2 linked regions of the Astyanax mexicanus genome follow. The protein of the gene in region 1 purifies or fractionates together with the protein of each later gene. This does not show direct contact. Links are inferred from orthologs where the notes say so. Each region holds a gene or a part of one and is shown on either strand. Other genes may lie near its edges.

The links.
Region 2: the proteins of riok1 (region 1) and wdr77 purify together in Homo sapiens (affinity purification with mass spectrometry; 5 studies listed by BioGRID and IntAct, with this or other methods). This does not show direct contact. The link is inferred for Astyanax mexicanus from reciprocal best matches to the Homo sapiens genes RIOK1 and WDR77.

The regions. Positions count from the first base shown.
Region 1 is NC_064411.1:38,922,522-38,929,799, forward strand, and holds the start of riok1 (serine/threonine-protein kinase RIO1), read right to left. Parts: upstream 3,008-7,278; 5' UTR 2,872-3,007; coding exon 2,798-2,871; intron 1,841-2,797; coding exon 1,582-1,840; intron 299-1,581; coding exon 214-298; intron 62-213; coding exon 1-61. UniProt on the Homo sapiens protein: Involved in the final steps of cytoplasmic maturation of the 40S ribosomal subunit. Involved in processing of 18S-E pre-rRNA to the mature 18S rRNA. Required for the recycling of NOB1 and PNO1 from the late 40S precursor.
Region 2 is NC_064431.1:32,443,512-32,451,327, reverse strand, and holds the start of wdr77 (methylosome protein 50), read right to left. Parts: upstream 3,075-7,816; 5' UTR 2,923-3,074; coding exon 2,841-2,922; intron 1,706-2,840; coding exon 1,520-1,705; intron 1,425-1,519; coding exon 1,283-1,424; intron 263-1,282; coding exon 213-262; intron 1-212. UniProt on the Homo sapiens protein: Non-catalytic component of the methylosome complex, composed of PRMT5, WDR77 and CLNS1A, which modifies specific arginines to dimethylarginines in several spliceosomal Sm proteins and histones.

The sequences.
Region 1 (7,278 bases):
TCTCGTTGTTTCTGCATCACCGTGACTTTGTTGATCACAGAATCAGCATAGTTCAGTTTATCTGAAACATAAAAGCAACCGAAATTACTGAGTGTGAGAAAGAATAGAAAGTATTTATTTTTACATCTACTGAAATCACCGAACCCAAACCCGAGACTTCCTTCCTCTTATTGAACACACTCACTCACTGAGCACAAAATACGCTCAACTTACCCAGATTTATTTTGTGTTCAAACTTCCTCAGGACTTTGTCTGATGGTGTAGACATCTTGTCAGATTTTGAACCCTGTCGATTAGCCTGGAACAAAACAAACAACACTTTTCATAACTGTGCCTCTGTATATGACCTTCATGTGTTTGAAATGAAGCAAACAGGATGTGATTGGGGCATCGGTTCATTGGGTTTAACAAAGTCCCACAATTTTTACAGGCTCAAAATAACTAGACATTAATAATAATGACTACATTGTGATATATAGATATGTTGTCACAGAAATAATTACATACAAATTAGAAACATTCAGACATTGAATAAATGAAGTTAAACACTGCCTGGGCGGCACGCATTGACCGTGTGATTGTTTTAATAAGATTCTGCAACATCACACGATTTATTTCAGTTCAGTGTTGCATTAATTTTTCACCAAGATCTTGCAGCAGCATTGATGATGGTAGAGTCTGACCACTGCACAAAGTCTTCTCCAGCACATCCCAAAGATTCTCAATGAGGTTAAGGTCTAGTGAACAATCCATGTGTGAAAATGATGATCTCATGCTCCCTGTATCACTCTCACAATTCCAGCCTCATGAATCCTAGAACTTATCAATTGATGGAATAAGCTGGTCTATGTTCAGGTAGTCAGCTGACCTCGTTCTTTCAGCACATACTGTTGCTGAACCAACACCTGACCAACTGCAGCATCAACCCCACATCATTTACTTACTTAAATCCAGGTGATGACTTTTTTTTTGCAAGGCAGTGTATACCAGAAACAGAAGAATGCATATCTACACCACCTCCACACACACCAAATTTTCTGGGCAATTTAGAGTGATTTACAGTCCAATTTACCTGATTCCTACCTTTTTGAACTGTGTGAGGAAACTAAAGTTCCTGAAGGAAACCCAAATGGACACTAAGAGAACATGAAAACTCCACCCAGACAGAGACGGGTAGACAACCGTGCTAACCACTAAGCCACCTTGCCGCCCAAATTGGTAGTGGACAAAATATTGGCAGTTTTGTAAGACATGCTCATCTGCAATAATGGAATCTCCTCGCTAAGTACACATAATGGGCAATATTTGGGGTCAGCAATAAATATTAAGTTTATGTCTATATATTATATAAAAAGTCAATAATGTAAAGATTGCTCTGGTTTTTACAACTTTTAACAACAAAAAACAACCAAAAATCTGAACAAATCTTTCCAACGTATAAATAATAAAACACTAAATTTGAAAAGCACAACATTATAAAATGTTATGCTAGTCAGAAATCAAAAGAATCTTTTTTTTCAGTTTGAACCCACTTAATTTTGTAATGTAAAGAAATTTTAGTATATTTTGTTAATGGAATACCTGTGGATTGCTTCCAGTCCTCACTGCAGTGTAGCGTTTAGTAATATTCCCTCCAGATGACCCACTCCAGTCCCATTCATCATAGTCATCATCATCTTCATCATCTTCATCATCATCATCATCTTCATCTACATCATCATCAGCAGCAATATCACCGCCCTGCTGTAGAGGTTTAATGGGTGAGGGCTGCAGGTTCACTCCACTGAGTTTGGTCTCCAGTGTTGCAGGTTTGTCTGTGCTCTGACTGAGTTCTGAGTCACTGGAGAATAAAAACAGATATACATTCACGTTACTGAGGTTCAGTCCGAGCAGGTGTTTATATTACCAGAAACAAGTCATTCATGGTGATCATCGCTTCCTCCATTCTCTTTCTCTCATTCTCTCTGTATCTCTGTCACCCACTTTTACTCTTTTTATTTCCCTTTCTCTTTATATTTTATATTTCACCCACTCATTTTCTTCCATCTCTCCTTTATTCTTTGAATATTCCTCTTCCCTCTTTCTTTTTTACCCCTCTTTATTCCCTTGTTCTTACTCCCATCTCTTTCCATTACCCTTTTTTCCTCTTATTCTTTCTTTGTTTCTATCATCCTCTCTTTTTACATGTTTCTTCATATATATCCACCTACTGACACTCCATTTACCACTTTAACCCACTCTTTTCACTCTCGCTCTCATTTCTCTTCACTTTTTTATTTTGCTCTTTCACCCACTTTCTCTCTCATTATTTCAATTTATGAGTGTATCTCAAAAATTAGAATATCATTGAGTATTTACTTCATCAGCAATATTCTCTTGTTCTTTCTTTTCTCTCATTCTCTCACCTATTTTTCTCTCATTCTTTCTCTCTTGTTGTTTGTATCACCCAATATTTATCTTCATTGTTCTGCCTCCAATTTATTCTCTCCCTCTTTCTTTCTTTATCTCTCTCTCTGCTGGTATGTCCCGGAAAATATGACTCACTGTCCTCCTACTTTACATAATCATGAAGTGAATTTGGGTTTCCCCGTTCCACCTTAAGCAGAGCTGCATGCTGAGTCTTTTAAGGTGGAACTAATAATTATTAATAGTTCAGCGCATTTATTTAACAGCACAGAACAGCATGTAACATTAATGAATGCCTGTGAAAGTAAGTTACCCTCAGTATCTGTTGAACTGGTGAGCTGTGATAAACACAGTTAGCCTGTTAGCCTATAGCTAATGTTTACTTCCATACCTTCCAGATTCCTCCGCGTCGTCAAACTGTCCGGGGACGATCTGCGGCATCTCTCTACAGCTCCAACTGTCCATCCTCAACACTGAACACACAGAACATACAATAAATAAAACACCACAATCAGGTAAACCAGGTTAGCCTAACCTAGCTAAACTCCACCTGAACTGAACACACAGAGCACAGCGTGGGTAAGGGTGCCGAGAGGGATCAGTTGAGAGCAGGAAAAGTCAAACGCAAAATGCTAATCACCAGCAGGAATACCTCAGGTTTGAATGAATCGTTTAGTAATATTCCTTTTAGAATCTATTACAATGGACACCATGTATTTCCTTTATTTTAAATGTTTTGTTGCACATAACTCTATTTAAGAGCTGTTCTCCATCATGGACTATAAAGCAAGTTTATAACAAGTTTATATACCACTGAAACAGATTTAGAACTCTTTTTTTTCAGTTTAGAGATAAACTGTTTATGAAATAAAAACGTCAATATTAAAAAATATAAAATATTACACATAGGCTTTCAATGCACTTGAAATAAAAGATAATATATATATATATATATATATATATATATATATATATATATATATATATATATATATATATATATTAGTTAACTGAATTTGTTTGCTTATATAGATTTTATAATAGAATATTGAAGTGCTCTTTTCTGTGCATTACAGACATTTTTGTGCATTTTTTAACGCTGGATATATTTCGGGTCTGAAAGGGATATTCTGGGAACATGAATTTACTAAACAGTTAATAATAAAATGTCGTTTTATTACATCAAGGATTGCTCTATAAACATAAAGCTCCTAAAGTAAAAATGAGAATGAGTAGAAAATAATATTTCGAAAATCTTTTCCTTACTGAAAAGAAACCACGAGGCTGAAGTTGGTTTATTCGCAGCTCCAGATTCGTTTGGCTGTATATTCGCAGCTTCGTATGGCTTCATCGCTTCAGTTTAATACAATTTCTTTTATATTTTTGTTGTCTCTAAATATTTTGTTCTACCGATTAACTTAAAAAGATTTCAATTTATAATTGCTGCCTTCAAGTTGTATCAGAAATATTATATTTACGAGATGAGAGCACATGAACGCCACTACAAACTCGTATTTACCATTGGGAGACTTTTTAGATAAGCCCCGAGTTTCCAAGTTGGGGGCTTGTCAATAAATTGATTAAAATACATTCTGATACTGATAAATAAATTCAATAAATTGATGCAGACAGTTCGTATTGTAAACTGCTTAACACTTAAACACTTGAAGGTTATTAGCTTACTAATAAAATCACTAGCGATACGTGAAATAACGTAAAAGTCTAGTATGACGGTTCTAACGGGATAAAAAACATCAATTACTCTAATGCGTGTCTTATTCGCCTCATTCTCTTGGAGTAGGGCAAAGTAATCTCCTTTTTTTATGATAATAAACCAAAAGTATAAACAAAAGGATTTTCCTTATGGCGTCCACTTCTACCCGACCAAAGTCGTAAATTCGTCTCCAAACTCGTAAGTATGAATTTTCGAGGAGGACTTGAAGGACATTTTTCTTCCTCAGCTTTCCCAATCATATTTTAAAAGAGCCACTAAACCCTAAACCATATATTTACCATTAATAGCTGTAATGTGTTCCTTTATAGTAGTAAAACACATAGATATCTTATACGTATATGATGTCTATAGTAAAACATACCAAATCTGCCTAAATTTCTAGAAACATTTCCTAACCTTTCCTGCAGCGCCTCACAGGTTTGTCTGTGGTATAGGCGTGGATACTTTGGTAGACATATCAAAATATGCAGATCAGTCTATTAATACTACCGCCCCCTTGCTGAAGTCCAAGTCTATGAGTCCAACCATCTGCATCTCACCACTATCAGAGACACACGGCTGCTGCTGCTGCAGCTCAGCCAATCAGCTCTCCCATACATCACCCAATACCCCTCCCAAACTAGCCTTTTTTAAATTTTAGCTGAGGGTTTTAGTGCCTCTTTAAGTTATTAATCTAGACACGTCAAACTTTTTTTTTGATTTGGCAGAACTTACCCCATCCTCTTCGTTATTCATTATTATAAAGATGTGCAGAAAAAAAATACTGACACATTCCTAAAATATTTGCTGATTAATAATTAAATATTTTTGTAGTTTTTGAGGAAACAAAAAAACGCCATAGTTGTTATGGCTATTTACAGATTAAACATGATATAAGAGGATAGTTTATCATACAGTCAAACAGCAGAACCAACCCTAATTGTATAGCATTTCTATCTAGCGTAATGGACATACATATTTTGCTTATTTAGTAGAGCAATATTGAAATAATGTAATTGTGTTTGGATTTAATTTAAAGTGGGTGTGATTTATTTGTATTTATTAAATGCTGTGTCACTGTTTGAACTTGATTGTATTTATTTATGGTGTTTTCCTTTTTGATTGTTTATTGCTGGATTCCAAGACTCCTGACCATTTTTTTTACCCAATCAGGAGAGATTAATAATTAGTGAAGTTATTTTATGTGTTCTTGGACAGGACTTTTATATACTGTCAGTGTCCAATGAATAAAAGAGACAAAAACATCTGAACTTTTAATGGAAGTCAATGTTAAAAAAAAAAAGTTAATTTTAGGTAATTTTTAAGTATTTCAATTGGTTCGCTCATCAAGACATTTTGTTGTAAAGCTGAAGCAGAAGGTATGAACAGCTTTGTTCGGGCTACAGGAGGGCTTAGCAAGGAGAATACAGCTGACTGAGTGACAGGCTGGAGAAATTGGCCTTTGCAATGGAGTGGCTGACCCTGAGACATGCATACTGTATGTGGGGTAAATATGGAATCGTTAAGACAAAAAATTCTGGTTCCCAGTTGGGCTACCTGTAATAGCCCCTCATGAGCATATTTTCTGAGATACTTTTGGAATGGGTTGTGGAACAGGTGGGGTGGTGAACTTTGCATTCAGCAAACAGAGCATTAGTGCGATTGAGGTCTAAAAAATGAAAAAAGAAATAAAAAACGAGCATGTGTACTAATATTTTTGACCATATAGCCTATTAAAAGAAGAACCGAGTCGTGTTGAATTTCTCACTCTTTCTTAGTGTATATTTATTGTTTGAATGATTGTATCGGAGATAACAGGGCTGAAAAAAAAAAAAAAAAAAAAAAAAACTCTAGCTTTCTAAAACTGAACAAACGTGAGACAAAACATGTGCAATCCCTTTAACAAATGCAGTCGTTTGACAGTGACAAAACACAAAACAGCTGAAAGGTTTAAAACATGCAGAATCACGAGAAAGACAATGATGAAAATGAGGACAACGCTGAGATGAAGCCAAAGGCGGTCGGTTTCCTGAAGAGATTCACATTCGTATGCATGTAGTAACTGTAGTGACTGCTTTGCTTGCTGTAGAAACGAGAGCGAGTAGCTAGCTCACCCACAAAGCTTGGATTTATTTCTTTTTTTACATATGCATAATTTGAAGAGCCCCTGAGAAAGAGAAGAACTGGTAACCACCAAAATTAATTAGACATGCAATAAAAAAAAATAAATCATCTAATAATTCAAACTGGACTAAATCCATTCAAGGTCCAGTAACAAATATGTACTTTGTTAATGCATGTGTGTGTGATGATGGGGCTGCATTACAAACATAAAAAACAAACAAACATATAACCAAACAAACAATCATAAAATGTAATTTATGGCGAACAGCTCATAAAATAACTGATAATAAAAAGAACTTCAAGATTGTTCAGTGCTACAGTCATCGTTTTTCTTCTTCTGATTCTCCTTGTAGCACACACGGAGTCCACATGGCTTCTCATAAGCATGAGCTCTGACCACTCTCTCTCTAGGATCAATAAATACATAAAATATTCAGTGTGTTGTCTATCGTTGATAATTGCGCGTACACACACACACACACACACACACACACTACGTAAGCAGGCACACATACATTTCTCATAAACACACTATAGTAAAGAAAAAAATTTATAAAATATATACACATATATATATATATATATATATATATATATATATATATATATATATATATATATATATATATATATAGATGATTTGTTTCCGCAAAAATAGTGACACATCTTAGAACTCTTCGCTGTGTTTCCTTGGGAAAACACTGTTACATGAAGACCAGCTGTTGGAACCTTTAGAAAATCTGACAAATCTTAAAAAAACAAACGATTGCGATTTTAGATTTTTTTTTTGCAGGCTGAGCTTTAACCATGATATGCTCTCTTAGAAGAGGGTTTTATTATTATTATTGCTCTACTGTAACATTGCATAGTTTGCATAGTCGTGTTCGGCTCTGAGATGCAGCATTTCTATTACTGATAGTTGATCAGAGGTGAAGCGTGTTCAGTCACATCTTAATTCTTAATAATTCTTAATATACAAAAGTGACAAAAGGCCTCTTCGTAGCGAACCACTTTTTAGTAAATTCTACAAGGTT
Region 2 (7,816 bases), on another chromosome or scaffold:
ATTAGCATTAACTGATAACCGAATTTTAACAAATTCACAGTTTTTAGGAGGGAAATCTGTGTAGATTAACATCCATCACTCGTTTGAAACCCCTGTTCCCTACTAGTGTCACGCCTTATAATCCTGCGCACTTTATGTATGAAAATGAATCTAAATTAAACTTTTAAACTAAATACATTTGTTTTTCTCGTATAGTGTATAAGTATTCTCACCGCTGTAGCTGCTGATCACCGTCTCCTGACTCAGATCCCAAACTTTAACCCTAAAAACACAGAAGATTCGCTCTTATTAACACCAACATCACTACAACACATGAGCTACACTCACATACAGTGCCATATACCATCTAATGTAGAGCAAATATCCATTAAACTCAGAGAAACACTTTAAAACCATCAGTTTCTCTGATTTTACAATTTATAGGCATATGTTTGATTAAAATGAACATTTGTTGTTTTATTCTGTGAAAACATCTCTCCCAAATTCCAAATAGAAATATAATAAATTTGTCATTTAGAATTTTCATTTGCAGAAAATGAGAAATGTTAAAAACCTCAAATAATGCAAAGAAAACAAGTTCATATTCATTAAGAAATAACAATACTAACGTTTTAAAAACGTTCAGAAATCAATATTTGGTGGAATAACCCTGTTTTATAAATCACAGCTTTCATGTTCTCCTCCACCAGTCTTACACACTGCTTTTGGGTGATCTTATGCCTTTACTCCTGCTACAAAAAAAAAAAAAACTAGTTTAACTTTATTTGTTGGTTTGATGGCTTGTGAACATCCATCTTCCTCTTGATTATATTCCAGAGGTTTTTGACAGGGTTCAGGTCTGGAGATGATTATTAGCCTATTAGCTTTAGCGCTAACTGGTGAGTTTTAACTTCCGTTACTTATAAGCTACATAACATTTAAAGCTCCAGTAATAACACAAGTTTAAGCTTCAATTAGCTTCATGGCTAGGAAGCTACATTATCCTTATTCTTAGCTTCAGTGCTAATTGGTAACTTATAACTTCCATTTTTTGTTAGCTACATTAGCATGCTAAGCTAAGCTGGTGAGTTTAAACTTCCACTACTTATTAGATACATTACCGGTATTCTTGTAGCTCCAGTGATAATATAAGATTAAGCTAAGAAGCTACATTATCCATTATTTTAGCTCCAGTGGTAATTGGTAACTTATATTTCTTGTTAGATACATTAGCATGCTAAGCTAAATGTTGAGGTATAACCCTTGATTACTTCTTAGCTACGTTAGCATTGATGCTGCTGACCTGCAGTCCATGCCGCTGCTGACCGCGTGACCCGCGTCGGCCGTAGGGCTCACTGACGTCACAACGTGATCGTGCTCATGGCGAGTAAACCTGTTTACCAGCAGACGCTCGTCCTCCGCCAGCTCCCATAATTCAACAGCACCTACATAAATAAAGACAATTACGCGAAACATTAGCAAAGAACACAACTGGCCACTGAACCAATCACTAATCGATCAATATCCCCCCTCTGCTCACCTGAGTCTGAGGCGAGGATGATGGCTCTGTTGGTGAGCCACTCAGCGTGGGTAACTCCCGCCTCTGTCTGAACCCCCGCCTTACAGTAACCCTCGTTAGGAGCGAGTTTAGCATCACTGAACACCCAGAGAGAACCGAGCCAACACCGACCCGTCAGACCCGACGCCCCCAACAGCAGAGTCCCATCTGAGAGAAAAACACAGACAAAACACGCTCAGAATACAGCTTCTTCCCCTAGGCCATCAGACTGCTCAACACACAAGAAAGAATGTTTCTTAACGAAACCATAATTACACTGCTCACAGTTTTGAATATTTTTAATGTTAAGCCAAGCCCACTTCTTTGACACAGAGAGGCATGTACAGACATTTACAGACCTAGAAAGACATTTACAGACACAAAGAGACATTAACAAACTTTAAAAATAGAGAAACCTAGACACAAAAAGACATTTACAGACACCGAAACACACACAGAGAAACACAGAGAAAGAAACACACACACACACACACAGACACAGACACAGAAAAACAGACACACACCGAGATACAGATACACAGAAACACAGAGATACAGAAACACAGAGATACAGACACACAGAAACACAGAGATACAGACACACAGAAACACAGAGATACAGAAACACAGAGATACAGACACACAGACACACAGAGATACAGACACAACAGAGATACAGACACAACAGAGATACAGACACACAGAGATACAGACACACAGAGATACAGACACACAGACAGAAACACACAGATACAGGTCACATAAACATACAGAGATAAAGAACACACAGAAACACACAGAGATACAGAAACACACAGAGATACAGAAACACACAGAGATACAGAAACACACAGAGACACAGAAACACAGGGATACAGAAACACACACAGAAACACACAAAGATACAGAAACACACACACACACAGAAACACAGAAACATACAGAAACACACACAGAAACACACAGAGATACAGAGATGCACAGAGATACACAGAGAAACACACAGATATACAGACACACAAACACAGAGATACACAGAAACAGTGATACTCAGAAACACACAGATATACAGAAACACACAGAGAGAAACACAGACAGACACACACACACACACACACACAAAAACACACACACACACACACACACACACACACACACACACACACACAAACACACAAACACACAAACACACACACACACATACACTCACTCACTCACTCACTCACTCACTCACTCCTGCAGCAGGCTGTGGTGTATTTTACCTCTAATTATAGGTAAGGTAAGGGTAGTTAAGGTAAGTTACCTGTTCTGTACTGCAGGGTCTCCAGGTGTCTCTCCATGCACGCGGGCGCGCTCGCGGGGCACCAGCGGCTCTCGGTTAGCATCCTGCAGCTCAGCGCGGCGGCTCTCAGTCTTTACCTGATTATTTACCGGTTTATTTATTTACCGGTTTGTTTGTGAGTCTGTTTTTCCAGCGCGCGAATGAATGGCCGGAGAGATGGAGCAGCGTACATGCGCCTCTGACATCCACTCACTTCCGCTTCCGGATAAAAGTCCCACTTTTAAATGAATAAAAGTCTACTAATATTTTTATTATTATTATTATTATTATTATTATTATTATTATTATTATTACTATCATTTCCAACAGAACGAGCTTTTATAATCCAGAAAATATAAGCAAAATGTTGTCCAATCAGAGCCGGTTTATGGACGGATATGGTTGTTTGCGAGTTTCAGCTACACCCGATAAAATAAGAGTTCATAATATAAAATAAATTACATTTTAAAACTCGCTCATATTAAAAACCTCATACTTTGATTATCTAAGGTTCGTTAAATATAATTAAATAAACTTTTTTTTTTTTTTTTGTCCAATGGCGTTTAGTGCAGGTACAACTTCAACGTAAAAGTCCGTGATCTTGAAGCTGAAATCCAACTATATAAAATGCAGAGTCCTTTAAAAAAAGAAAACAACTAAAAATTAAAATAAAAATGTTATATAAACAGTATATTGTAAAACTATATTGGATTTTTTTTAGGAAACAGTTCCCTGATTAACAGCTTACAGCTAGTAAATAGCATTGGAAATAAAAATGTATGAGCTTTGAAAATGTATTTAAAAAAAGAAAATTTCCCAAGACAAGGTATTTATTCAGGCTTTGGTATTTGAACAGCCAAACTCTCTGTTGTTTTTGGTTCTTCAGCTGAAATTTAACACAAAATATCTCGCAATAAAATCTACATATAAACAGATTGAGTTTTTTATTCTTAAAAAAAAAATAAAATAAAAGTAATTAAGGTTGTTTGAGGTTGTTTATTTTTCATGTGAACAGTTTTAAAATTATAAAATACAAATAAAATCTAAATAATAATGAATATACATTTACAAAATTTACACTTACAATTATAGATACAAAAAATATATAATGTAAGAATAGCAAACACACACACAGCTGCCATCTAGTATTAAACACAGAACATCAGCTGATTTGATTTGCAGTGCATTCTGGGAAACAGTAGATCAATAAGTTACACACATCCATCGCTACACTTTAATGCATGGAACAGTTTTTGCTTAATAGAACATTTTCTGATCTTGACGGTTAATGTTCTTACATTTTCAGGATGTTCTTAGAGTGTTTTTACTTAACATTTTTAAACATCATGGTAACGTCACTGCAATGTTACAGTTTAACGTTAATGGAACCTTTTTAAAATGTTGATAAATGTTCTCAGTGAGCTGAGAAGATGCTACATACGATGGGTGTATGGGGGGAGTGTGTGTTCCAGGGGTCTCCTGTAGGTTAAGGGCCCTCTCTCCTCCTCAAAATGCAGTGAGGGCCTCAGTTCACTGTAAGTGTGTGTGTCTGTGTGAGAGTGTGTGTCTGTGAGTGTGTGTGTGTGTGAGAGAGTGTGTGAGTGTGTGTGTGTGATCTCCCGCAGGGTTGCGAGCAGCTCCTCGTACTGTTCCTCTGGTCCAGTCTGGACGTCCTCAGTGCAGAAGGTCAAACGCAGCATGTCGGCCACGCCCACCACGACCCCCAGCAGAGCCAACACTGAGCCCACCAGGTAAACCCTCAGCAACCCCGGCCTGAACCTCAGAGACAACAGCTCCCGGGCCAGCGGCACCAGCACTCTACTGTCCATCAGCATCATAACCACCGTCCTGATGAGTAATAAATACAAAACACACAGTTAAAACACATTAAAACAACATAAAAACAACCATACAGAAAAAAACTATACAGATAAAACACACCAAACCCCTCAAAACAATTAAACACATTACAATAATACAGATAAAACAAATCAAACACTTAAAAACAAGCAAACACATCAAAGCAATATTGTTTAAACACATTAAACACATCAAAGGAACCAAACACATCAAAACAATACCGTTAAAACACATCAAACACATCAAAACTATACAGATAAAACACATCTAACACTTCAAAACAATACAGTTAAAACACATCATACACATTCAAACATCCAAATACATCAAAACAATTGTTAGACACATCAAAACAACATACAAAAAAACATCAAAACAATACAATTAAAACACCTCAAACACTAAAAACCAACCAAACACACCAAAAATACAGATAAAACACACCAAACACTTTAAAACAACCAAACATATTAAAACAATACAGTTATAACCCACGAAACTCTTTAAAGCAACCAAACACATCAAAACTTTTACTTTTATACTTTAAATAATTTTTGAATCCAGTACTTTTTTAAACACTTTTACTTAAAGAGTAAAATGCTTGAGTTGATTCTTCTTTAACTTCTACTTCTAAGTATTTTATTAAACACTCTATACTTCTAACTACAGAGTAATGATTATTTGTTTATTTTATTTAATGAATAAAGAATAAACAGAGAAATCACACACTGACCTGTCTGAACAGCTCTCTCCACACTGTCCCTCACTTTCCCTCTGTGAGGTTTATACTGGTGTGTGTGCGTGTGTGTGTGTGTGTGTGTGTGTGTGTGTGTGTGTGTGTGTGTGCTGGTGCAGGTATGCTCCGCCCACTGTGTGTTTACACTGTTTACACATTTCCTCTGTGAGTAAGCTGGTTGGCTCAGACAGGCTTGGCTAATGCTAATGCTAATGTGTCTGACACTGCAGACGTCCGGCTCGCTCCGGCTGTAACGCTGGATTATACACACACACACACACGCACACACACACACACACACACACACACACACACACACTAAACTCAGCAGACAGGAATTTCCAAGCTCACACAACATGTAACCTCAGCCCAGTCTGTCTGCAACAGCTTGTTTAAAAAATTGTTACATTTGTCGTATTTTTGGTTAAAAAACGTTTTCACACATTCTCTGCTGATTACAGGTCAGTCCGGTCCAGAACCAGTGTTGTGCCGATTTCAGCACCCCCGCCAGGAAAAGCACCCCCTCTCGGGAGCGCGCACGTACATCTTCTTGGTTTTAACTTTATTTTTCATTATTTCTTTTGAGTCACCGTAGCTTAGAACAGCATATTGAGTATATTCATTTTCTAAAAATAGTCATGTCACCTGCAGCCTTAATTCAATAATGAAATATATATATATTTTATAAAATTTGTAGTCCTATTTTAGCGATCTATAGGCAAGCCATCAACCGTGCACTGTGCAGCTTGATTTAGAGCGCGTTGGTGTGTCTTTGCTATCATAACGGTGGGAAAAGTACACCTTGCATGACTCAAGTTATGTACTAATTCTCTTAATTAATCGTGGGTGTGGTTAATTTTGGGTGTAACATGACATAAACCAATCAGAGTGTCACTTTAAGCTCATCATTCTCTTTAAGAGTAGATCAGGTGAGCTCTGACTTTGGCGGATTGCTATTTTAACAGTGCAGCTACCTGGACCTGGAAACTGAGCTGCTGGTTGACGCTGTGAAGGAGATCCAGCAGCTAATTTACGGGAACAGCAATGTTATTTTATTTATTATTTTGTTTATTGTTGATCTACATATGGCACAGTTGCGTTGCCAAGATAGCAATAAACCAGAAATTTACCTGAACCTCATTTTCAGACCACCACGCCCATCAGTGTAGATATATTCAGAAGCACTGTTGCTATTTAAACAATGCAGGAGGAACGAGTGGAAATAGACTGTTGACAAGGTGTAAGATAGCAATGAGCATCACAACGCATCATGCACATGTTGTAAGACAGGGCCTTCATTATTTATTGGTGTTTTTATCTCATTTAGGTAAAGCATCGGATTGCATATCATCCTGACATTTTCTGATTTGGGGTTTTAGACTGATTCATCCCACCAAACCACGACACACCTCATCGCCATGGAGACCGGCAGCTGGGTGTGTCTGCCTCTGTCTGGCTTTTTGTAGAAAAAGATGAGTCAGAAAACACACACACACACACACACACACACCTGAGGCTGGTTCATACCTGCACTGGAGAATGTACCGCAGATTCAGTGCCTTCAGGCTACACTTTACTGCACACCACACCCAGAACACACATCGTCACCTCACCTCACACACCCTCACACACACACACACACACACACACACACACACTAACACACACTGCCATATGATTACTGTGCCCCAGGCTGAGGAAAACAACTCCAGCACCTTCAGATCTTTGCAACAACACAACCACGTCCCATAATAACCTTCAGCTTCAGTCTTCATAAATGCCTGTTCGCAATTACCTATTTAATACGTTTAAATCACTGTGGCTGTAAATACAGAGCAGAAAAATCTGAACAATTTCAAGAACTTTGAAAGTATCCTCAAGTGCAGTCACCGCAAAAAACATTGAAAACTTTATGATGGAACTGGCACTCATCAGGAATGCCCTGGAAAGGAAGAGCAAGATTTCCTCTGTTGTACAGGAAGTTCATCAGAGTTACCAGCCTCAGAAAGCACAAGTTAACAAACAGCTCCCCAGATAAGAGTATTTAGGTTTGTTTAACACTGTTTTTAAGTTACTACATGATTCCTTATGTGTTCCTTTATAATCTGATAGATCACTTAACTATTAATTTATAATGTAGGAAAAAATATTAAAAATAAAAACATTGAATGAGAAGGTGTGTCTAAACTAAAGTGCAGAGTAATTAGTGCTGTATATACATTTAAAATGATGATATTCTCTGGGTGTGATACGGTATGGCACGGTACGGGCAGGTCAGACTCAGTGATGTTCTGTTATTGCTGATGCTCCTCTGATCTCTCCTGTCAGAACAAGCCCAGAACTGAGAGTTTAACTCACTTTA